3 linked regions of the Stegostoma tigrinum genome follow. The protein of the gene in region 2 purifies or fractionates together with the protein of the main gene of each other region. This does not show direct contact. Links are inferred from orthologs where the notes say so. Each region holds a gene or a part of one and is shown on either strand. Other genes may lie near its edges.

Region 1 (7,888 bases), on a different chromosome or scaffold from region 2:
AGGTTTCTATTCTACCCTTGTCATCAACATCTCTGAGGAAGATAAAATTATTGCTCATGGGGACTTGAATGCTCAAGTCAGAAAAGACACACAACTCTGGACAAGGAGTCGGGTATTGCAACTCTGAAAGGATTCACACTCAGCAAATGTACATCACCAATACATTTCTTGCTCCGAAAAGATAAATTCAAGAATTCTTGGAGGCATCCATAATCAATGCACTGGCACATAATTAATTATGTCATTGCTCAGCCCAGAGACCAAAAAGATTACCAAAGTGATGACCTAGTGCAGACAATTGATGGACAGACCACTGACTCCTCCCCTCCCCAATGTCCATCAAATGACACTAGAAACAGATGAAGGTGAAGAAACAGGAATAGATGGGATTCTAGTGGAGATTTTCAAAGTTGGAGGAGCAAAGCTTACCTGTCATCTCCATCAACTGTTTCTGAAAATCTGGACAAAGAAGAGATCCCTGCCAATTTCAGGGATGCTGCCATCGCCACTGTCCTCAAGAAAGGAGACAAAATGGTCTTGGGAACTACTGAGAAATCTCCCCTCATTCCATCACCAGGAAGATCATCACCTGAATCCTTATTAACTGCCTTCTCCCAGACTCAGAGGAAACTGTTCTGGAAAGCAGTGCGTTTTCTGACAGAAGTGTGGAACTGTCATCATGATTTTCACTGCTCGGAACTCCAAGAAACCACCAACCACTCTACGTGGATTTCATCAATCTGATCAAGACTTTTGACTCAGTCAGTTGGGAAGTGTTATGGAAGACCCTTGCAAAGGCTGACTGTCCAGTGAAATTCATCAACATCCTCCATCTCTAGCATAAGATAGTAGTGATGAGCCTCCGTCAGGAATATGACAGAATCTTTTGAGGTCATCTCAGGGGTCAAGCAGGGATATATCATCACCACTGCCCTTTTCTCCATCTTCATCACCAGAATTCTTCAGTTTCTTCAAGAACAAACTTCCTATTAATGTGAACATTGTCTCCAAGATGGATGGAAAACTCTTCAACCTTAATCAGTTGAAATCCAAGAAGAAAATGACATGGATATTACTTATTGAATATTAGTATACAAATGGCAATGTCATCTCCACTATCTCAGAACAGAATCTTCAAACCATGCTTAATGTCTTCAAGGAAGTACCTGAAGAATTAGTTTCAACCTTGAAGGCTCAAAGTTTTACCAAGCTCTCCTTGGTCAAGTTCAGTCCATCCCTCTATGAAGATTAATGAAGAAATCCTCCAAACTACTAAACATTTCCTTTATTTGTGAAGCTACCTCTCATCAATGGCTGATACCAATGCAGAGATGCAACATCACATTCAATCTACGAGTGCTGCTTTTGGACAACTAATGATGAGAGTATTCAATGTTTGTAACATCCGTGCTGATGCCAAAATCCTTGTGTATAAGGTAATCATTCTTCAGACTCTTCTACATAGCTCTGAAACTTGGATTATACATAAATGCCACCTTAAGATCCTTGAGAAGTACCATCCACATTGTTTGAGATGGATTCTCCTTATGATTCAGGATGGTAGGTGTACTAACATTAGCATTCCTTGAAACGTATAATACAACAGCTTCAAGGCTTCATCCAGAATCAATTCTGGTGGGCTGGCCGTATGCTTAGGATGTTTGAGTTCTGACTGTCAAAACAAATCTTCACCCAGCTCAAAGGAGGCACTCGAGCAAAAGGAGGACATAGGATGTGTTTTAAAGTCTCCTGAAAGCTTACATCAAGAATGGCAAGATAGATGTGAACACATAGGAAACCCTCATTCAGAAGAAACTGACTTGATGGAAACTCCTGTCGAAAGCCTGTGGATGGCATGGTGGCTCTGTGGTTAGCACTGTTGCCTCACAGTGCCAGGTTTGATTCCACCCTCACGTGACTGCCTATATGGAGTTTGCACACTCTCCCTGTGTCTGCGTATGTTTAGGCTTCCTGCCACAGTGTAAGATGTGCAGGTAAGGTGGATTGGCTGTGCTTAATTACCCAGAGTGTCCACAAGTGTGTCAATTAGGTGGATTAGTCATGGGAAATGCAGGGTTACAGGAAAAGGGAGGGGGATGGGACTGGATGGGATGCTCTTTGGAGAGTGGCTGTGGACTTGTTGGGCCAGATGGCCTATATCCACACTAATTCTATGAAGAGTCACAATTCTTTGAGAACACCCATCAGAAAAAGGGGGTATGGAAAAGGAACCTGAGAAATGCCAATGATCAGAAGGCCAAGGACCACTTCCACCTTCAGTAAACACCTAGCAAATATGTGGTCAGAAATGTTGGTCGAGAATCGGGCTCAGCCACGCAAATACCCACAGAACACATGATTAATGACCACAGAATGTCCTTGGTTGATCAGCATACTTGTTAGCAAGTAATTGTCCACGACTGTACTTCACTTGCAGCTTATATTAGTATTCTTATTGAAGTTCTGTATTTTGTCATTTACCCTCACTTCTCCACTGCCAAGTTTGGTGTCACGTGCAGGATTTTAAAGTGTACAGTATTTTCAACTCCTACTTCAAACTATTTGCAATATTGATATCCCAGGATGGGGAGCACCACTTCGATTTTTTTTTGCCAGTCTAATTAATTGCTGCGAACCACAGCTTTCTCCTCTCTTTTAAAACTAGCTTGGTTTCCATTCTTTTGATCTTTTTAAAAACATTTCGTGTATTTATAAAGAAGAGGATGCCGCATGCCTTTTATCCAGGTTGACTGCTGCCGGCGGACTTCTGTCTTTTCTCTTGGGGGGTCCCTACACCCACCGCCCTCGGTCCAATTCTGTTCCCCTCTCCTTCTCTCCCGGATGACCATGCTAACGTATTTGTCCTTCCCTCGGCTGCTGCTCTGCTCACCTCAGCATCCCAGGATCCGGTGGCGAAGCATTCAGGAAGCTGCAGACTGGAGCCGGATACCGGGAGCCAGCGGACCCGGCTGATCTTCTGTGAAACATAGCGAGCCTCCATGTCAACGGGGAAAGCCACGACCGCGGGCCGGCAACTTCCGAGTTAACACAGACAACTTCCTGGAAAATATCATCAACATCCGGGGGTCAGCCGTCCAGCTCTTCCGGCCCTGTTTATTGTTTCTGAACCGTTTATTATTTATTTGGAAACTTCAGGCTCTGGGGTTTAACTGTGAGTAGCATCGATTATCAGCGTTAGAGTGATTATAAAATCCACGATTGGTATCAGGGAGCGGATGTCTCAAACTGAGGGCACTGTCTGCCCTTTCATATAAAACCCTACCGTTCTATTTGCGCAAAGAACAGGGCGATTCGCCCCGGCCTGGTATTCATTCGTCAGTCAGTATCACCCGGAAAAGCTGATTGTCTGTCCCTGATCGCGTATCTTGTGAAACATTGAGACAACAGGGTGTAGAGCTGGATGAATACAGCAGGCCAAGCAGCATCAGAGGAGCAGGAAAGCTGACGTTTCGGGCCTAGACCGATATACCCCCATTCGGGCCTAGGCCTTCATTTCTGAATATGGATCTAGGCCCGAAACGTCAGCTTTCCAGCTCCTTTGATGCTGCTTGGCCTGCTGTGTGCATCCAGCTCTACACCTTGTTATGTCGGACGGGTCAAGGAGGTGGGGGGTGGAGCCGGTAAAGGTGAGTGTAGCTGGGGAGTTACGGTGGGGATTGGTCAGTCAAGGGAAGACGGACAGGTCTAGGAGGTGGAGGTGGGGGTGTGGGTTAAGGTGGGAGGAGTCGGTAGGTGGGAGAAAGGACAGACAGGTGAGGGAGGCGGAGACGAGCTGGGCTGTTGTTGGGATGCGGTCAGGCGAGGGGAGATTTTGAAGCTTGTGAAGTCCACATTGATACCATTGGGCTGCAGGTTTCCCAAGCGAAATATGAGGTGGCTGTTCCTGCAACCTTTGGTTGGCATCATTGTGGCACTGGAGGAGGCACCCTAACCTCACACTTATGTACTTACCGTCTCTCCGGAGCTTTTTAAAAGTGGCTGTCTGTGATGATTGCTGATGCTATGAAAAAGGAGTCACAGTTTACTTTCACCCCACAGCCTGCAAGATATGGACCTGCCAGAGTAAAAGTACAACACCACGTTAATGAAGGAGCCATGGTCAGAGTCTCCTGTCAGGAATACAGAGCTTTTTTGTTCTGTTTAAAAAGAAGGCGCAGAGTGGCAAATTATGTGTACTTCTGCTCCTCAGAAAATCTGACCAGAATGTGTTGGTGTGTCTGCAGGGTCACTGTGTGCAGCTCCCATGTGTGCTTCAGAAATAATTATCCGGCCAATGTTTCTAATCTAAAATGGTGATTTTTGTTTTCCTTTAGAAAAAATTGCTTCCAAAAATCTTGCACTTGTTTAGATGAGATTCCCTACAGTGTGGAAACAGGCCCTTCGCCCAACAAGTCCACACCGCCCCTTGCAGCATCCCACCCAGACCCATCCCCCTATAACCCACATACCCCTGAACGCTACAGGCAATTTAGCATGGCCAATCCACCTAGCCTGCAGATCTTTGGACTGTGGGAGGAAACCGGAGCACCCGGAGGAAACCCACGCAGACACTGGGAGAATGTGCAAACTCCGCCCAGACAGTCGCCCGAGGCTGAAATCGAAGCCGGATCCCTGGCTTGAATTTAACATAATGCTTTCTCTTCTGCGGCTTTAACTTTTAACAGAAGAAAATTGATGAATACATTTAGTGACCATGGTTTTCTCATATTCATCAATGTAATTCTCTCAGGGCAGTTGATAGACTGTACCTCTTCCTGCCATCTAACAGGACGTATGAGTTTCTTTGATTTTTTTTCCAACTAATTTCTAATATGTTGGAGAACAAATCTGTTTCAATTTAGATATGTTGGAACTAATGAAGGTGTTATTGTTACATAACTTACTAAGAACTATTTAACATGATAAGATAGAGAAAGTTTAAACTTATGATTGTTTAATCTCTAAAATACTTGGGATTAAAATGGTTTTTGATTCAAATGTTTATTTTGAGTACTAAATCCTCCTTGGTGTCTTATCCATGTTGTTCATTTGGACTGATTGGTTCAATGTTTAGTTTTTAAAGGAAGAGAGAATTTGAATCAGCAGAATGATGAATTGTGCAACACACTTGTTCAATTTTCTGCACAGTCAGGTAGATGCCAGTGTTGTAGCTGTACTGAAACAGCTTGGCAACAGGCGCAGCCAGCTCTGGAGCACAAATCTTCAGTACTGCTGCCGAAATGTTGTCACGGCCCATAGCCTTTGCAGTACCTCCAGCTGTTTCTTGATGTCCTATGAAGTGAATCTACTTAGCTGAAGACTGACATTTGTTACAGTGGTAACCTTTGGAGGAGCTGAAGATGGATCATCCAGTCAGCATCTCTGGCTGAAGATTGATGCAGATACTTCAGCCTTATCTTTTGCACTAGCGTGCTGAAGTCTGGTATTATGGAAGATAAGGAAATTTGTGGAGCTGCTTCCTCCGGTGAGATGTTTAATTGTCCACCACCATTCATGACTGAATGTGTCAGGAACGGACAGCTGAGATCTGATCGTTGGTTGTGGAATCTTCTGGAAAATTTAGCATAGCCAATCCAACTGACTTGCACATTGTTAGACTTGTAATTGCAGATTTTTTGATTTAATTCAAATTCCGTCATCTGCTGTAGTGGGATTTGGCACCGAATACATAGAACATTTGCATTGTCTCTGAATTATTAATGCAGCCACGATAAACTATACCATTATCTCCCCTAATGAGGTAAGATATGAGACTACCCACAACAGGATCACTGAGTATTATTTTAATAGTGAAAAGCTAGGAACAATGGAAGTTGAAAGTGATGTGGGGTCCATATATAAAGATAGTTAAAATGTCATCATCAGGAACAATAAATTATCAGAGCTGGAATACAAAGGTGATTTTGCTACAGCTATGCAAAGCCCTGATCTAGATCACATATAAGTACCGCATACAGTTCTCGACAGCACACCTTCAGTGGCCTAGAAAGGTGTGCAATGCAGAATATTCACCAGAATAATACCTTGGCTTCAAGGACTACATTATCGAGGAGGATTACTTAAGTTGGTCTTGTACTATCTTGAACATAGAAGGTTATGAGTGATTTGACTGAGGGTTTTAGGGTTTAGAAAGCAATTGCTAGGATAGAGAGGAAATGTTTTGAGTGGTAGGATGAGAGGATGTGGTCATAAAATTAGATACAGTCAATTCAGACCTGAAATTAGGAAACATTTATTCATGCATAGGGTGGTGGACCATACCATAACAATACATGTTAGTTCAATCAATGGCTATAAATCTGAAATTCAAAGATTTTTGATAGTCATGGTTATGAAGGATTATTGACCAAGGTCAATGGATGGAATTAAGATACAGATCAACCAACTTCACTAATTGACCAAGTCAAAAGTGTAACATGAATCCATTCTGGAGGGAGTACGATGAGCACAGAGGACTGAAAGAAATAGAAGGATCTACTGATTGGGTTATGTGAAGGTGGCTGGGGGGTGGGGCTTATGTGAAGCACAAAAATTGTCAAAGACTGGTTGGGCCAAATAACCTGTTTCTCTAATTTATATTTCATATAATTTGCTCAATGTTTTGATTTATTTTTGGAAGAAATGCATGAGCTGTGATGCTTCGTTAATTTGTGTCTTTTATATAAATGTTATGATTGATCTGGACCAGTTGCTTTTTCTGACAGTCATAATGTACTCTGTTTCTCATTTGTTTGTTTCCACGATATACATATATATTTTCCATTTGCTTAGCTTTAAACCATTTCCAACTAAATGTTTGTGAATTAATTAAGTTTTACAAAAGGCTACGACTGAACTAAATTGTTAAATGTAAGATACAATCTAAATATGCACATTTGGCAGTAAAAAAAATGACAAATACATGGCAGGTGAATAAATGTGAGGTCAAAAACAGGAAGACAGATTATTATCTGAAAGGCAATAGATTAGTAATGGGGAGGACCAGAGAAACCTTAGGAGATCACAGTGAAATCAGGAATCACTTCTTCACATGAAGAGTGGTGAAAATCTGGACATCTCTCCTCTATCATCCCCAATATAAAAGCAGTTTTCAGTAGAAAATTTCAAAATTGAGAATGATAAATGAGTGGGGATTTTAAGGGTTACAGAATCAAGGTTGGATTGAGATACAAATCCATGCTGATTTAGTTGAATAGCTCAATAACAAAATGAACGTCCTCGTCTTGTGTTGCATTCCTAACTGACTGTTCAGAGCAATAAATGCTTCATTCATCCTTTTTTACTAGGAGAATTTCATATTTTTATACTTTTTTGTTTGCAGCTGTGAACTTGCACTAAGCTGGTACAATGAGCAACAGAAGGAAGCGTGCAGCCCCGGTGCGAGTAGACGAAGAAACAAAAAAAAAGCTGAGCTGGAATATGTGTGATGACTTGAAGGATCTCCATGCACTTGATCGATCAAATGACTGTAATAATCCCTTAGCCTTGAGCTCAGGTCTCCCAGGATACAGAGAGACAACCCTTCTCCAGCCTAGCAGTTTGAAACAGGATGAGCCATTTAATATCTCAGCTGTGACTCAGGTCGAGGATGGAGAAAGTCATCTTTTGCCATTAAGTACCACCACCCAGATCAGTCTTTCTGTCTCCCCTGGCCACTTGGGTGAAGAGTGGCGAGCACTGCTGCACAGGTTTACAGTCCAACTTGCAACACGGCAAGCATTTCCAGAGGAACTGTGGTTTCTCAGCATAGGCTTGATGAAGACCAGTGCTGATGATCAGCTGCAAGTCTCAATCAAGAGGAAATGTGATGATTCTGAAAGGGATGACAACGAAGAATTCATAAGCTGTGTAAGAACTTCACTCACTT
Region 2 (7,757 bases):
CCCAATTCCCTCCAGGACATCCTAGCCCACTCATCAACCACAAAGACCACATCCTCCTTCCCATGTAACTGCAGAAGTTTCAACACCTGCCCGTTCACCACCTCCCTGCTCACCATCCAAGGGCCTAAACAGTCTTTCCAGGTGAAGCAGCTTCCTCCAATCTTGCTTATTGTATTCGCCACACTACTCTACATTGGAGGGACCAAATGCAGACTGGGTGACCGCTTTTACAGAACAGCTCCAATCTGCACACAAGCACGACCCCGACCTACCCATAGCCAGTTACTTTAACAGCGTCCTGCTCACATGCCTACTTGTCTGTCCTCAGCATGCGGCAGTTCTCCAGAAAATCACAGTGCAAACCGAAGCACTACATCTTATCTTCAGACTAAGCGCTTTACAACCTCTTGGACTTAATATGGAGTTCAACACCTTCAAATTATGAACCAACTCCCATTCCTTCCCTTTCTTTTAGCTTTGTTGCATTCTCTGTCACCATGTCCTCCCTCCCCTTCTCCCACCCCAGCTGGACTGTCTGTTCTGACCTATCTGGCAGTCAGACACACCATTGTTCTGCCATTCTCACATTCTGATCACTTAATCTGAACAATCAATATCCTTTTCCCCCCAGCACTCTACACTCCACACTCCAAATACCATCCCTGCCCTCCCCCCACAACAGCATAAACACTGCCCCCTTCACACTTCATGTCAGCTCTGAAAAATCACCTAGACGCAAAACATTAGCTCGTTCTCTCTCTCTTTCCATGGATACTGCCTGACTGCTGTGATCTGCAGCATTTGTTGGTTTCAGTAGATTCCAGCATCCACAGTAATTTACTCCTAACTGAAAAAAAACTCGAGATCAAAGAGTTAAGTCATCAGCTTGACACCATTCTTGCCTTCAAGTCAAATGTTGTGGGTTCCCATCCTGTTCCTTTAACTTGTATGCATACTCCAAGCTGACACACAACTGCATTGCTAAACATATGCTGTAACAACCAGAGTGATGCCTATTGGATGTGACTGAATTGGGATCTTGCTGCCCAGTCTGAATGTGAGGGGACTGTCAGCTGGAATTGGGATCTTGCTGCCCCAGTCTGAATGTGAGGGGACTGTCAGCTGGAATTGGGATCTTGCTGCCCCAGTGTAGGGGAATGGGGTGGGGGGGGAAGAGACTGTCAGCTGTGATTGGGGTCGTGCTGCCCCAGTGTAGGGGAATGGGGTGGGGGGGGGGGGGGGAGAGAGAGACTGTCAGCTGTGATTGGGGTCGTGCTGCCCCAGTGTAGGGGAATGGGGTGGGGGGGGGCAGACTGTCAGCTGGGATTGGGGTCGAGCTGCCCCAGTGTAGGGGAATGGGGTGGGGGGGGGGGCAGACTGTCAGCTGGGATTGGGGTCGTGCTGCCCCAGTGTAGGGGAATGGGGTGGGGGGGGGGGAAGAGACTGTCAGCTGTGATTGGGGTCGTGCTGCCCCAGTGTAAGGGAATGGGGTGGGGGGGGGGGGGGGGAAGAGACTGTCAGCTGTGATTGGGGTCGTGCTGCCCCAGTGTAGGGGAATGGGGTGGGGGAGGGGCAGACTGTCAGCTGGGATTGGGGTCGTGCTGCCCCAGTGTAAGGGAATGGGGTGGATCTTGCTGCCCCAGTATAACAGAGTGTTTAAAGGAGGAGGGGGAGGGGACGGGGCCTACCTGAAGTCCTTGTCGCTGGAGGTCATTTTCTCCAGCAAGTTGGAGATGTGATAGGACACATTGGCCATGGCGGGCAGTGCGTGAGCTGCAGGCACCGAGCTTTTTTTCCCCCCCCCTCAGTGCGTCCCTCTCTGAAACAACAACAAGAAACTGCTGCTGACGCCCCCTCGAGGACCGTCCATGGGAAAAGATGGCGCCGGCAGCCGCCCCGCCCCTAAACCGGGTCACAGGTCACGGGCACAAACCATCTCCGCCAGCCCCTGGGGGGGGAGGGCGAGACAGGGAAGCAGAGGGGAACGTAATGACGTTTCTCCCTCCCCCTCGGTCTGTCGAGTGGTATCTACCAGAGAATCCCTCTGTGAGGGGGAGACTCAGGGAGGTGGAGGTCTACTGGGAATGATCACTGAGGGATCATATTAACACTTCAGGAGCAGGCAGGGAGAGATCTACTGGGACTGATCACTGAGGGTTCATATTAACACTTCAGGAGCAGGCAGGGAGAGATCTACTGGGACTGATCACTGAGGGATCATATTAACACTTCAGGAGCAGGCAGGGAGAGATCTACTGGGACTGATCACTGAGGGTTCATATTAACACTTCAGGAGCAGGCAGGGAGAGATCTACTGGGACTGATCACTGAGGGTTCATATTAACACTTCAGGAGCAGGCAGGGAGAGATCTACTGGGACTGATCACTGAGGGTTCATATTAACACTACAGGCACAGACAGGAAGAGAATCTACTGGGACTGATCACTGAGGGATCATATTAACACTTCAGGAGCAGGCAGGGAGAGATCTACTGGGACTGATCACTGAGGGATCATATTAACACTACAGGCATAGACAGGAAGAGAATCTACTGGGACTGATCACTGAGGGATCATACCCATCCATCAGGCACAGGCAGAGGGAGAGATCTACTGGCAATGATGACTTGAGGATCATATCCCAGCAGACATGGAGGGAAAAGAAGTACTGGGACTGATCATTGATAAATAATATCAACCAAAAAGAGACACAGACAGAGCTAGAGATCTACACACAATGATCACTGAGAGATCATATTAGCCCAGCAGAGACAGATCTACTGGGACTGATCACTCAGGGATCATATTAACTCAGATTAGACACAGACAGAGTTAGGGATCTGCTGGGAATGATCATTGAGGGATAATATTAACCCAGAAGACACTAGTTGAGGGAGAGATGTACTGGGAGCGATCACTAAGAGATCATATTAATCTAACAGACATTGGCCGAGGGAGAGCTCCACTGGGGTTGATCACTGGGTTTTACCCAGCAGAGGCAGATCTACTGGGACCGATCATTGAGAGATCATATTGACCCAGCAGAGACAGATCTATTGGGACTGATCACTGAGGGGATCACATTAACACATAAGGCAGAGGGAGAAATCCACTGGGAATGATCACTGAGAGCTCATATTAACTCAGCAAATACAGACAAAGAGATCAATTGGGGATTATCAGTGAGGGATCATATTAACCCAGAATAGACACAGGCAGGGTCAGAGATCTAGTGGGAATGTTCACTGAGAGCTCATATTAACCCAGCAGAGATGCAGACAGAGGGAGGGATCAACTGGCAATGATGACTGGGAGATCATATTATCTTAGCAGACATGGAGGGGGAGATGTACTGGGAATGATCATTGATAACTCATATCAACCGAGAACAGACAGAGCTGGAGATCTACACACAATGATTGCTGAGAGATCATAATAGCCCAGCAAATTTGGAGGGATGGTATACTGGAAATGATCACTGAGGGATCACATTAAACCAATGAATGCAGATAAAGAAAGAGATCTACTGGGAATGATAACCGAGAGATCATATTAACCCAGCAGATTCAGACAAAGCAATCCGCTGTCAATGAGCCCTGAGAGATCATAGTAACCTGAAAACCCAGACAATGGAAGAGCTCTATTAGGAATAATCAATGAGAAATAATATTAAGCCAGCAGCTACAGAAATCTTGGGGCAGCACAATGGCTTGGTAGGTGGTTAGCACTGCTGCCTCACAGCACCAGGGACTCAGGTTCAATCCCAGCATTCGGTGACAGTGTGGTTTGCAAATTCTCCCCATGTCTATGTGAGTTTCCATCAGGTGCTCCAGTTTCCTTTCAGTGCAAAGATGTACAGTTTATGTTGATCAGCCATGCTAAATACAAGGTCATGGGGATGGGTCAGGGTCCTGTGTTTGGGTGGGATGTTCTTCTGAGGATTGGTGTACATTCAATGGGCTGGACAGCCTTTTTGTGCATCATAGGGATTGTATGATTCTTCTATGATTGTAAATCTACTGGGAAATCCCACTGACATCATATTAATGCAGCAGACAAAGACAGACATATACTGGGAAAGATCACTGAGGGATCATATGAATCCAGCACACACTGTCAGAGAGAGATGTCTGTTGAGAATGATTATTGAGGTCAGTCCAGTGCTACTCATATTTCTTGTCATTGTGTTAATATCTCTCATTTATCATGCCCAGTTGTTCACTCTGTCTGTCTGTGTCTCTGCTGGATCGTATATGGTCTCTCAGTGGTCATTCCCACTAGATGTCTGCCTCTGTGTGTTTCTCTGCTGCTTTCATATGATCTCTCAGTTAGTGATGCTCAGAGTACTATTGATGCTCAAGATGCCAGTGATACTCAGGGTGCTAGTGATACGCAGGGTGCTATTGATGCTCAGGTTGCTAGTGATGCTCAGGGTGCTGGTGATACGCAGGGTTTTATTGATATTCAGTATGGTATTGATGCCTAGGGTGGTATTGATGCTCAGGGCACTATTGATACTCAGGGCACTATTGATGCTCAGGGCGATATTGATACTCAGGACACTATTGTTGCTCAGGGTGATACTGATGCTTGGGGCACTATTGCTGTTCAGGGCGACATTGATACTCAGGGCACTAGTGCTGCTCAGGGCGATACTGATGCTGAGGGCGCTGTGAACTGTGTCAGTGCAGCGGCTCCATGCGGAACCTTTGTTTGCGATTGGCGGCGGGAGTCGGTCGGTTTGTGGAGCGGGACAGGTTCCGGGCTGCCACGTCTGTGAGGAGCGGAAGCGGGTTGTGGGCCCGGCGTCGAGACTGCGAGCGGAGCGGCCTGCCCGGCGGAGCCATGGTGAGTTCTCCTCGCCCCGGGGGGCTCGGCCGGAGAGGCTCAGGCCTGTGTGGGGTGGGGGGAGACGGTGAGGGAGGGAACCTGAGGAGGGTGTCTCCCCACCCCAGCTCGGATTGTGTCTCCCCACCCCAGCTCGGATTGTGTCAGGAGTGAAGGGGACTCCAATCAGGCCCAGTCCTTATACTTTATTGCAGAAATACTCCACGTTCATTAAAAATGACTCCACGTACGGTTATGAAAGGATTTCTGCGCAGCCTTGCACGCGAATAACAAACACTGGAATTTGGCATTGCCCGTAGTCACAAAATCAAAACCCCAAACCACTTCTTACTTGTACAGGTTTACATTCACATACGTTTTAGACACCGAGAGGGTCTAGTAACTGAATGGACCTTCCACCCCCACCCCACCATGGACTTTGGTAAAAATACTTTAAACGGTGGCCTTTCCCCGTTGTGGCTTGGAGCATATCATCTCTGATGAAGGGTCTAGGCCCGAAACGTCAGCTTTTGTGCTCCTGGGATGCTGCTTGGCCTGCTGTGTTCATCCAGCCTCACATTTTATTATCTTGGAATCTCCAGCATCTGCAGTTCCCATTATCTCTGTTTTTTTGTAATTGCCTTCCCTATTCTGTACAACTCAGGTCGGGAGTCACCCATTCCTCTCTAACTTAGTCCCGAACATATCTTTCCCCTCCCAGAGACAGTGGGAACTGCAGATGCTGGAAAATCTGAGACGACAAGGTGTGGAGCTGGGTGAACACAGCAGGCCAAGCAACATCAGAGGAGCAGGACAGCTGACGTTTCAGGGCTGGACCCTTTTTGAGAAAATGACCACCATATGGGGGTGGCTCAGTGATTAGCACTACAGCCTCACAGCGCCAGGGACCTGGGTTCGATTCCGGCCTCGGGCAACTGTCTGTGTGGAGTTTGCACATTTTCCCTGTGTCTGTATGGGTTTCCTCTGGGTGCTCTGGTTTCCTCCCACAGTCCAAAGATGTGCAGGCTAGGTAGATTGGCCGTGCTAAATTGTCTGTAGTGTTCAGGGGTGTGTGGGTTATAGGGGGATGGATCTGGGTGGGATGCTCCAAGGGTTGATGTGGACTTGTTGGGCTGAAGCGTCAATTTCCACACTGGAGGAATTCTATGATCTATGATTTAATGATCTGCAATCTCTGAACTTTGGACCCTCATTGATTTCAGAAGAAGGGTCCAGACCCAAAACATCAGCTTTCCTGCTCCTCTGATGCTGCCTGGCCTGCTGTGTTTGTCCATCTCTATACCTTGTTCCCTCTCCCAGTCTCAGCTCGAACATCTTATTCACAGTAATTCTCTGAGCGCGCTCTGCCTTAGTCAGCTTCGTTGACTATTCCTGCTTGTGATCCTTCCCATTTCAGACAGATCTTGAATATAGAGATAACAAGGTGTAGAGCTGGATGAACACAGCAGGCCAAGCAACGTCAGAGGAGCAGGAAGGTGGATGTTTTGGGTCTAGACCTTCCTTCAGAAAATGTTTCAGGAATCGTAGGGAGAAACACTTCTTAAGGGTCTCAATGTTCTGAATGTAGACATTGTCACGGTTGGGGCCAAATGTGGGAAGGCTTGAATGTGGGCTGTAGTCCATTGGGATGATCTGGTTCCGAAGGCAGGAGCTAAGAATAGAAGCGTGGGGCTGGGTGAACACAGCAGGCCACGCAGCATCTTAGGAGCACAAAAGCTGACGTTTCGGGCCTAGACCCTTCATCAGAAAAACATGCTCATGAACCCCAACCACAGAAACTATTGGCAACAGGAGTCTCCAGTGGATCATCTCTGGGATGACTGGGATCAGTAATAATTTAGGATGGCTCTAAGCCCCTCCTCTCGGTCTGTCCTGAGCAAGGGTCACTTGAAGCGTCTTTGGAGAGCCTTGGATTCACAACAGGCTGCACTAACAACTGCTGTTTGCCATTCATTGATACCTCCAGCCAGAGGTGATAGGCTGGTGTTGACTCCACTACCTTTGGAGAAAAAAAGGCAAACAAATTTCTTTCATTTCCTTGGGACATTGCAATGTTTTGTTGTCTCTGGAAGTCCTATATGGTAAGTTTCAAATGGCTGGCGTTCAGTTCGGGTTCATGACTTGAGCACAGAATCTAGGCTGTGACAATAATAAAGCAGTGCCACACACTTGGAGCTACCATCTTTCTGAAGATATGTCAAATCAAGACCTCATCTGCACAGTCAAGGGGGCTCAAAAAGAATGGTACAAGCAGCTTCATCAATTTCTAGAATGATACAGCACATGAGATTGTTTGGCCCGTCATGCCTGTGTCAGCGTGTTTTCTGAAGGGAATTTAGAATACATGAAAAGAATTAATTACAGTGGGGAGCAGTACGAATCGGATTTGGTGAATTGTCTCCGTGTGCTGTGAGATTCTACATTGTTAATAACTTTGCACTGAGGGAATAAGTCTGTTGACAAATTTATTTAATTGTGGTTTCTAGATTCGGGGCTTCAAAAAAGTATTTGAGCATGTGTGTTAGAGTCTAATCCTTCACCAACTAGGACAGATTCAAGACCAAACAATGAGAGATGTTATAAATTTTCTGTGTATGGTGTATAAAGTCTCCATATTGAAGTGCATTATTGAGGAAATGGTAGGTTGGGTTGGGTTGAGTGCAGTTTGCAAACAGGTGACAATGCAAAATATGGCAGCAGTTGCAGTTATTCAGAGAAGCCACAGGATCGCAGCCATGTGAACAAGTCAAACTGGTGAATGGGAAGCATTTTATGAGGTTACGCCTGGAATATTTAACATGAATTACTGGATACTGGAAATATATGGGTGTACCTTGTATTGCAAGTGTCCTGGGAATAAGCTACATGTCCCTTACTTTTCTCAATGGAAAAGACTTCATGAAAAGAAT
Region 3 (7,906 bases), on a different chromosome or scaffold from region 2:
TTTAATCCAGAAACTATTTTGGAGAGATTGAAGACTGATAAATCCCCAGGGCCTGTTGAGCTATGTCCCACAGGCCTCCAGATGGTGGCTCTAGAAATAGTGGATGCATTGGTGATCAACTTACAAGATTCTTTAGACTCTCGAACAGTTCTTACAGATAGAGTATAACTAATGCAGCCCCACTATGAAGAGTGGGGTAAAGGGAAAATTATTATAGACCAGTCAGTCTAACATCGGTAGTGAGCAAGATGTTAGAGTCCATTATCAAGAATATTATACAAGTACACTGAAAAAACAGTGGTAGAAGCAGACACACAGTCTGATCTACAAAAGGGAAATCATGCTTGACAAATCTTCTGGAATTCTTGGAGGATGTAACTAGCAGAATTGATCAGAGGGAGCTAGTGGTTTACAGAAGGTTTTAGGCAAAGTCTCAAGTAACAGATTAATATGTAAGATTAAAATGCATGCAATTGGAGCTAGTATTGACATGGACAGAAAATTGATTAGCAGACCGGAAACAAGGAATAAAAGATAATATAGTATGGAGCTGGAAGAACACAACAGGCCAGGCAGCATCAGGGGAGCAGGAAAGTTGATGTTTTGGTTCAGGTTTTTCCAGCTCCATACTGTGTTATCTCTGATTCCAGTATCTGCAGTTCTTGCTATCTCATAAGAAACAAAGGGTCTTTTTCTGAATGGCATGCAGTAACTAGTGGGGTACTGCAGTAATTGGGACCCCAGCTGTTCATAATATGTTAATAGTTTAGATTTGGCAACTAAATATAATATCTTAATTTTAAGATGACACAAAGGATGCAGAGATGTTGAAATGTGTTTTGGACAACCCGACTAAGCAGGTAAATGTCAGACAATGTGGATAAATGAGAGGTTATCCACTTTGGGAGCAAAAATAGAAAGGTAAATTATTGTTTGACTGACCGTATATTGAGAGATCAAAATGTTCAACGAGACATCAGCATCGTCTTGTACGAGTCACTGAAAGTAAGCATGGAGGTGCAGTTGGCTGTGCAATTTATACAGAGCATTGGTAAGGCCACATCTGGACTACTGTGTGCAGTGTTGGTCTCCTCATTTGTGGATGAATATGCACAGTGAAGATTTTCCAAATTGATTCCAGGAAAGACAGGATTAATGTATGAGGAGAAATTGAGTTGGTTACAACTGTAAACACTGGTGTTTAGAAGAATTCTCATAGAATTTTATTGGTTTCTAACAGGATTAGACAGGTTAGATGCAAGATTGACGTTCCTGGTAGTGAGAGAGTCCAGAACCAGGAGTCACATTTTAATAATAGTGAGATGAGAGTGGTGAGCCTGTGAATTCACTTCCACAGAAACTGGTTTCGGTCAGAACATTATGTTTTCAAAATGAGGCAGATGTAGCTCTTGTGGCTAAAGGGATGAAGGGTTATGGGAGGAGACCAGGATCACCAAACTACCAGGAAATGCAGCGTAGGACAATAGGAAACCTGCCTGAGTACCAGCTTCATATCCACAGGAGGTGCTTTCCAGGAGTCTTATGCCCACTGATCCTCCCATTCTCAGCCCCACCCCATTTATTCATTCATTGGAGGTCCCTCACAGATGAGGATGATTCTCTTCAAATCTCAGGGTGAGTCAATAGGTAGCTGTGCAGACTAATGCAACTTCTGCAGGCTCTGTTACACTTGCAGCAGAAGGTGGTTGCAGGAAGAGGTGGGTGGGGCATTAGTGTGGCAGCCCGCTCCTTATGCTGTTTTTGCCTGGCTTTGCTTTTTTCTGACAGTACATCCCAAGGTTCCAGATGCTCGTCTTCCACTTTGGACTACCTTGAGCCAGTGATTCTCAGAAGTACGTAGGAATGCTGCACTTTGCCACTGAGGCCTTGACAACATCGCCGAATCACTTCCTCTGTCCACCTGAGGCTCGCCTGCTGTTTCAGAACTGAGAGTAGAGCATGTGCTTGGGGAGTCTCGTGTCAGTCATACAGATGATGCGCCCAGCCCATTGCAGCCGATCAAGTGTGGTCAGTGCTTCGATATTGGCCTATTCCAGGATGCTGGTGTTGGTGTGTCTTTCTTCCCAGTGGTTGCGCAGGATCTTGCACAGGCAGCGTTGGTGGTACTGCTCCAGCACCTTAATGTGTCTGCTGTAAACAGCCCACATCTCAGAGCCATATAGGAGGGTGGGAACCACCTTGGCTCTGCAGATCATGAAAGTGGTGTCAGATCTGATGTTGTTCTTGAACACCCTTTTCCTCAGACAGCTGAAGGCGGAAGATCCAGGTGGTGCTGGATCTCTTCATAAATAGTTGCTTTGGCCAACAGGGCACTCCTGAAGTATTGGAAGTTGTCAACTTTCCTCTCAGGCCTCCCTGAGGACCATGAAGATTGGGCATTCGCTCAACAATGCCAGGCCAATTTGGTGGATATTCAGGGTGAGACCCATGTTCTCATATGCCTTGGTAAAGGTTTGAGGTTTTTGACTTGCTTGCCGAGCTGGCTTGTTTTTGTTCAGATGTTTCATCACCGTGCTAGGTGACATCGTTATTGGAGCCTCCGGTGAAGCGGAGTTATTCTACTCCACTTGTCTGTTATGGTGAGTAATGTCATTTCCGGTTTTGATCTGTATCGGTAAAGGTGTTAACGATGGCCTGGTGTACGTCCTCTGAGATTGCACATTCTCAGGCATCATTCGCATGCTGCAGCTTGATGACATTGCTTGGGTGGTTCTGGCTTAAAGGTGATGGAGGTTGAATCATTTCCTGCTGGTTCTGTAAGTTAGCTCCACTTCAGCAGGGAGCTTATTGGCCTTGAGGTGAAGCACTGCAGTGAGATGGATCAAGAACTGTTGGGACTATGATGGAGCCCTGCTTGACACTGGTCTCAATGGAGAACGGATGAGTGGTGGTGTCATTACTACAACTTTGCATGTTGTTGTGGTGCAGGCAAAGGATGATGATAAAGTTTTGTGGTACAATCAAAGCAGAGAAGGACACTCTATCATGCTTCCTCATTGACAGTGTCGAAGCCCTTTGTAAGATCAAAAAGGCTCTGTACAGGGATAGGTTCTTTTCTCTGCATTTCTCCTGCAGCAACAATCACATCTGTGTGCCCCTCTGTGGCTGAATGCCACACTGCAATTCTAGGAGGAGTTCCTCAGCCACAGAGAGGAGACTGTTGAGGAGGATCTTGAATGATGACTTTTCCAACAGTCAACAGCAGGGAGATTCCCCTTTAATTACTTGTTCCCTTTTTTGAAAATGTTCATGACTGTAACATCTCAGAGCTCTCGGGATGCTCTCCTCATTCCTGATAAGTAGACAAGGGCATGTAGCTGTAGCAGGAGCACTTTGCCTTCACAGTTCAGTGCCTCAGAAGGGATACCGTATGCTCCAGCAACCTTGCTGTTAAACTGCCGGATGGCCTTTTTTACTTCATGCAGGCTGGGGTGTTGCTGAGCTCATGGCATGTAGTGTGCTGGGTGATATGTTCAAGCATGGCCGGATCCATGCCAGCGTCCTGGGTGAGAAGCTTCTGAAGTGCTCCCCAGCTTTGTTTCTTTGTCTTTGTCACTCTGTCCTTGGCCAGCAGTGGGTTGCAGCCTTAGGTGTTTGGTCCAAAAGTGGTCTTGATAGCATAGAGAAAACCTTGCACATCATGGCTGTTGGACAATCGTTTGGCCTGAAATGCTTCCTCCACCCACCAGTTATTCTTAACGTCACAAGTTTTTTGTTGGATCTCTGCCTTTAAGCCTGACTTTTTTCTTCAGAATGTGGTTGTTGCTTTCCACTCAGAAATGCAATGCACTTTCAGCTTATCAGTTCTTAGATCTCCTGATCATTCTCATCAAACTGGTCTTGGTGTTTCCTGTTTGAGAAATCGACTTGAGTTTTTGCAGGCATTGACAATGGTAGTCTTGAGGGCAGACCAGAGACTGTTACGATCCTGTGGCTCTGTGTCGCTGACAGTCACTAAGTCTATGGAGAGGAATTGGTTGCATGAGGCGAATGTTTTCTGGATTTTGAGAGCCTCAATGTTGAACTTCTTGTGACACTGCTTCTATTACGGTGGAGCTCTATTTATATTAATCCTGGCATTGGATCCGGCGATGGTCTGTCCAGCAGTTGTCGGCTCCTGTCATAGCGCAGGTGGTTTTGACATCTTTCTGATCCCTTGCTGTGATGATAATGTAGTCAACGAGGTACCACTGTTTGGAACACAGTTGCTAGTTGCACAGTCTTCTAATTGTCCCTTGGCAGAACAGTGTGTTGGTAATGAGGGGAATGTGATTGTGGCATTTTATTCACGAGTGCCATTGAGTTTTGCTTTGCAACTCTCTCTTTTCTGATTACATCGCCCCAAAGTATGTACTTCTGCGGACTCTGGTCTTGGAGTCGTCAAGAACGACTAGTTTGCCCGCCTCAGGGACCCGTGAGAGAGATCGGTCAAGGCTGGAGTAGAATTCCTTCTTGGGCTCACCTGCAGCATTGATCTTCGGTGCATGTGCTCTGCATACTGTGACACACTGGTTCCGAACGAGGTTGAGTCTGGGTGGTAACGTGTGGCATTCGCTTGTTCATTCCCACCTCCAGCTTCGTCTCCGCCCACGGTTTGGTCTCACCTTCCTCTGGTCCTCCCCCTCCCTCGGCCATTGTCCTGCGCAGTAGCCCCATGGCTGTTACGGCAGTATGGCTCCGCCCTCTACCCGCCAAAGCCCCGCCCCTATCAACTGCCCCACCCACGGCGCTAGGCCCGGCCCCCACCTGGTGCTTCACGCTCAGCGCTACGCCCCGCCCCGCGCCTTGGCCACGCCCCCACTGGGCGGGAGTCGCCTCCTGTCGCTACGTGGCAGAGTCTGCCATATTGACCGCGTCAGCTGTGCGTGCAGAGCCGGTAACTGCTGTGCCTGAGGCCGGAGGGTGTGATAGGCCTTCTTGTGGTGAGTGGCTGCTGTCGCCATAACCGGCACCGAACTTAGATCACGGTGGCGGGGTCATGTTGCGCCTAGAGTTACACTCTGGATCCGGTAGCGGTTTGAATCTGTGGGTGAGCTGCTCAGTTTCACTTGGCTTCCCGGTGTGAAGTACCTGCTCACACTGAATCCCTGAGTGCAGGGAGAGAGGTGCCTTGTGTCGGGGGCCACAAGGGTTTGAAGTGCCCTCTGTTACTGGGCAGTTGGTGGAGGGTGAGCGATGCCCGGTATCGCTGAACTCTTAAGGTGGGAGGTGTCGCTGGGCTCACGGTTAGGGGTTTGAGGTGCCCGGTGTCATTGGGCACCTCACATCTTCCCACCGCAGCGAGGCCAGAAACACTGGGTACTTTACCCCCACCCCGCATTCCATGTTACTGGCCTCGGGGAGTCGGGTAGGTTGGTTGGGGTGGGGGTGTGCTTGTGGGAATAGATGTGAATAGACTGTGTAAATTGCTCGGTGTCAATATCCGAGCACCGTGTGATGGATTGGGCAGGCACCGGACACCGTGCCAATGACACTGGGTTTGGGTGGACACTGAGCTGAAGGTGGGTGTGAGATTTGGAGTCGGAGAAAAGGGTCTATGGTGCTTGATGCCCCTGGAATTTTGTCATTAGGATTGGTGAGATGCCCAGAGTCACTGGATTGCCTGTGTGTCTGTTGTCATTGGGCTGGTGGAGTAGGGAGGGACTGAGAAGGTGTTTTGTGTCAGATGTTGGTGAGATGTCTGATATTACTAGTGTGTGGAGTTTGTAAATGTATGCAAGGTATTGTTTATATATGCCAGAGCTGTAGGAGATGATGTACGAAGTTCCTCTGTTCTTCACCACAAACTCTCTCAGGTACTTGGATTTTTCTGGAGTAACCTATGATCTATTGATTGCTCCAGTATCTGTGGGAATATGAGAAATCTACATACTTTGCATGTTATCTGGGATTTTTGACTACTCTAATTTAAAGTTAAACAGGTCCTTGATCTCAGGTCAGGTCTTCACTGCTAGTTCTGATCCTGGGCCCTTGCTTCCCTCCTGAATTTAAACTGAGGTCCTGGGGTCGATTTATGGCAGAGGTTGGTTAGTGTAGGTAGTCCTGTGAGTACCCCTGTGCTGACCAGCTGCTGCTGGATGAGCCTGGTTAATCATCAGTGCGATAGAAGTAGTAATTTTAACCATATTTTTCAGTTCACTTTAAGATTTTTATTTATCAGTGTTGGAATTGCAGCAACTTAAAATGACACTACACTTCAGTTCAGAAGAGTACAGGTACAATGTTTTAATTTTGTTCTCTGTGAAAAAAGGCTCAGTAGAACATCAATCATTTTTTTAAATGCTTAAGTTAAAGTCAATTTTCAAGAACGTAACCCTGACTTTAGTTGAGGCCAACTGTACTGAAATGAAAGAAGTATACACAAATACAAATTTCACCAAGAATCAGTGTTAAGTCTTTAGATAGTGGCAAGAGCAAGGCAGGTGTTGCAAAAAACGCATCACTTGGCTAAAGCAAATTTAGACAGAATATTCCCGAAAGGGCTACATTTGTTTAATATTGTTTCCATTTGAAGTCCTTGGAGAAGTAGCGGTTTCAATTACTAACAAACATGTTGTTTGCTAAATTACTTCAAAACAGCACCAAGATCTCTATGCAATTATTGGGACGTAACTGAGCGAGTCGTTTTAAAATTTGCTAACGTAAATCAGTATAATTTTGAACACGTCCTGTTGTGCACTACTATTAGTGCAATATTGTTTTGTAAATTTTGTATTCTGGAACTTAATTAACTACATCCCTGTTGAAAACTCTTGAAATGCATCGATTTAGTATCTGTCTCTGAATAGCTTTCTATGCAATATTTAATTACCCCAGGCCTTTGTTTTTATAGAACGTAGAACGTTACAGCGCTGCACATGTTCTGTTTTACTACATGCAGACCTTCCTTAGCTCTCCTGATTTCCCTTTTTGCTTTTCTATAATGTTATGCTTAGTTGATTTTCTTGACTAGCTTTTATCTTGAGTCTTATTTGAATTTCTTTCCTCTTTCAAAGGACTCCAGCTTTTGCAACTCTGTTCCTTGTAGAGCTTGTACCTATATCATCTCTTGCTTATCCATATCCACTAAATTTTCTCTCGAGTTTATCTCAGTTTCTGTTTATTTCATAATCATTTTTTCAGCTTTTATGTTAAATGTAATTTCATTTACTGTTAAACTTGTTAAGTGTTTTCCACACTTTGCTTTGCCTACTTGGCCTTTCTTAATTTTTGATAACTGGCTCTGGCACTTTTTGGGAAAATAATAAGCACTGACATAAAACAATCTCAGATACATTGTAAAGACTCACCTGTAATAAATTGACTGTATCTTTACTACTCATTATTTTTCCCTATCTCTGAAAAACAAAATCATTCATGTTCTTGCTGTTTTTGTGCACCTCTTCCACTATTTTCTTTCTGTCGCTTTCATTCTAAATTCCATGCAAAGTTGAACTTTTGAATTATCCCCATGATCATCGTTGTGATTAAATATTTTATTAGTCATGTCACCACATTTCCCTTTTTCATGATCTAACCTACTTTTTTGTAACTAGGAATATGTAGCTTACAGCCCTGCTTTAGCTGAAACAACATTGCTGTTAAATAATCTCTCTGCCAACGCTTGTATATTGTTTTACATTGCTATCTTTATGTAGTTCATCAATTTTTATCTCAGCTCTTTGTGCATTTCCAACTCAAATTTCTTCTCTTTACGGATCTTTTTTACTCCCTATATAAATTGTTATAAATTGTTTGTAACTTTGCTGTTTCACCCTTCTAGCCTTTCTGCAATATTGTTCTTGCTCTCAGTTCCTTCCTCATCTCCCCATCTTCCTTCCCCCATTGACTATTGTTTTAAACACCTGCTCCACAACATTAATTAGTCTTCCAACAATAATTTTAT

The links. The genes of interacting proteins can lie anywhere in the genome.
Region 1: the proteins of sec13 (region 2) and nup43 purify together in Homo sapiens (affinity purification with mass spectrometry; 3 studies listed by BioGRID and IntAct, counting the BioPlex papers as one, with this or other methods). This does not show direct contact. The link is inferred for Stegostoma tigrinum from reciprocal best matches to the Homo sapiens genes SEC13 and NUP43.
Region 3: the proteins of sec13 (region 2) and sec23a fractionate together in Homo sapiens (co-fractionation; 3 studies listed by BioGRID and IntAct, with this or other methods). This does not show direct contact. The link is inferred for Stegostoma tigrinum from reciprocal best matches to the Homo sapiens genes SEC13 and SEC23A.

Annotation. Positions count from the first base shown.
Region 1 is NC_081357.1:93,685,944-93,693,831, reverse strand, and holds the start of nup43 (nucleoporin Nup43), read right to left. Parts: upstream 3,088-7,888; 5' UTR 3,002-3,087; coding exon 2,891-3,001; intron 1-2,890. Other genes in the region: E3 ubiquitin-protein ligase SHPRH, read left to right, coding at 7,369-7,888. UniProt on the Homo sapiens protein: Component of the Nup107-160 subcomplex of the nuclear pore complex (NPC). The Nup107-160 subcomplex is required for the assembly of a functional NPC.
Region 2 is NC_081364.1:60,401,672-60,409,428, forward strand, and holds the start of sec13 (protein SEC13 homolog), read left to right. Parts: upstream 1-4,675; 5' UTR 4,676-4,698; coding exon 4,699-4,848; intron 4,849-7,757. Other genes in the region: cullin-associated NEDD8-dissociated protein 1-like, read right to left, coding at 1,689-1,756. UniProt on the Homo sapiens protein: Functions as a component of the nuclear pore complex (NPC) and the COPII coat. At the endoplasmic reticulum, SEC13 is involved in the biogenesis of COPII-coated vesicles.
Region 3 is NC_081363.1:58,441,908-58,449,813, reverse strand, and holds the start of sec23a (protein transport protein Sec23A), read left to right. Parts: upstream 1-4,819; 5' UTR 4,820-4,943; intron 4,944-7,906.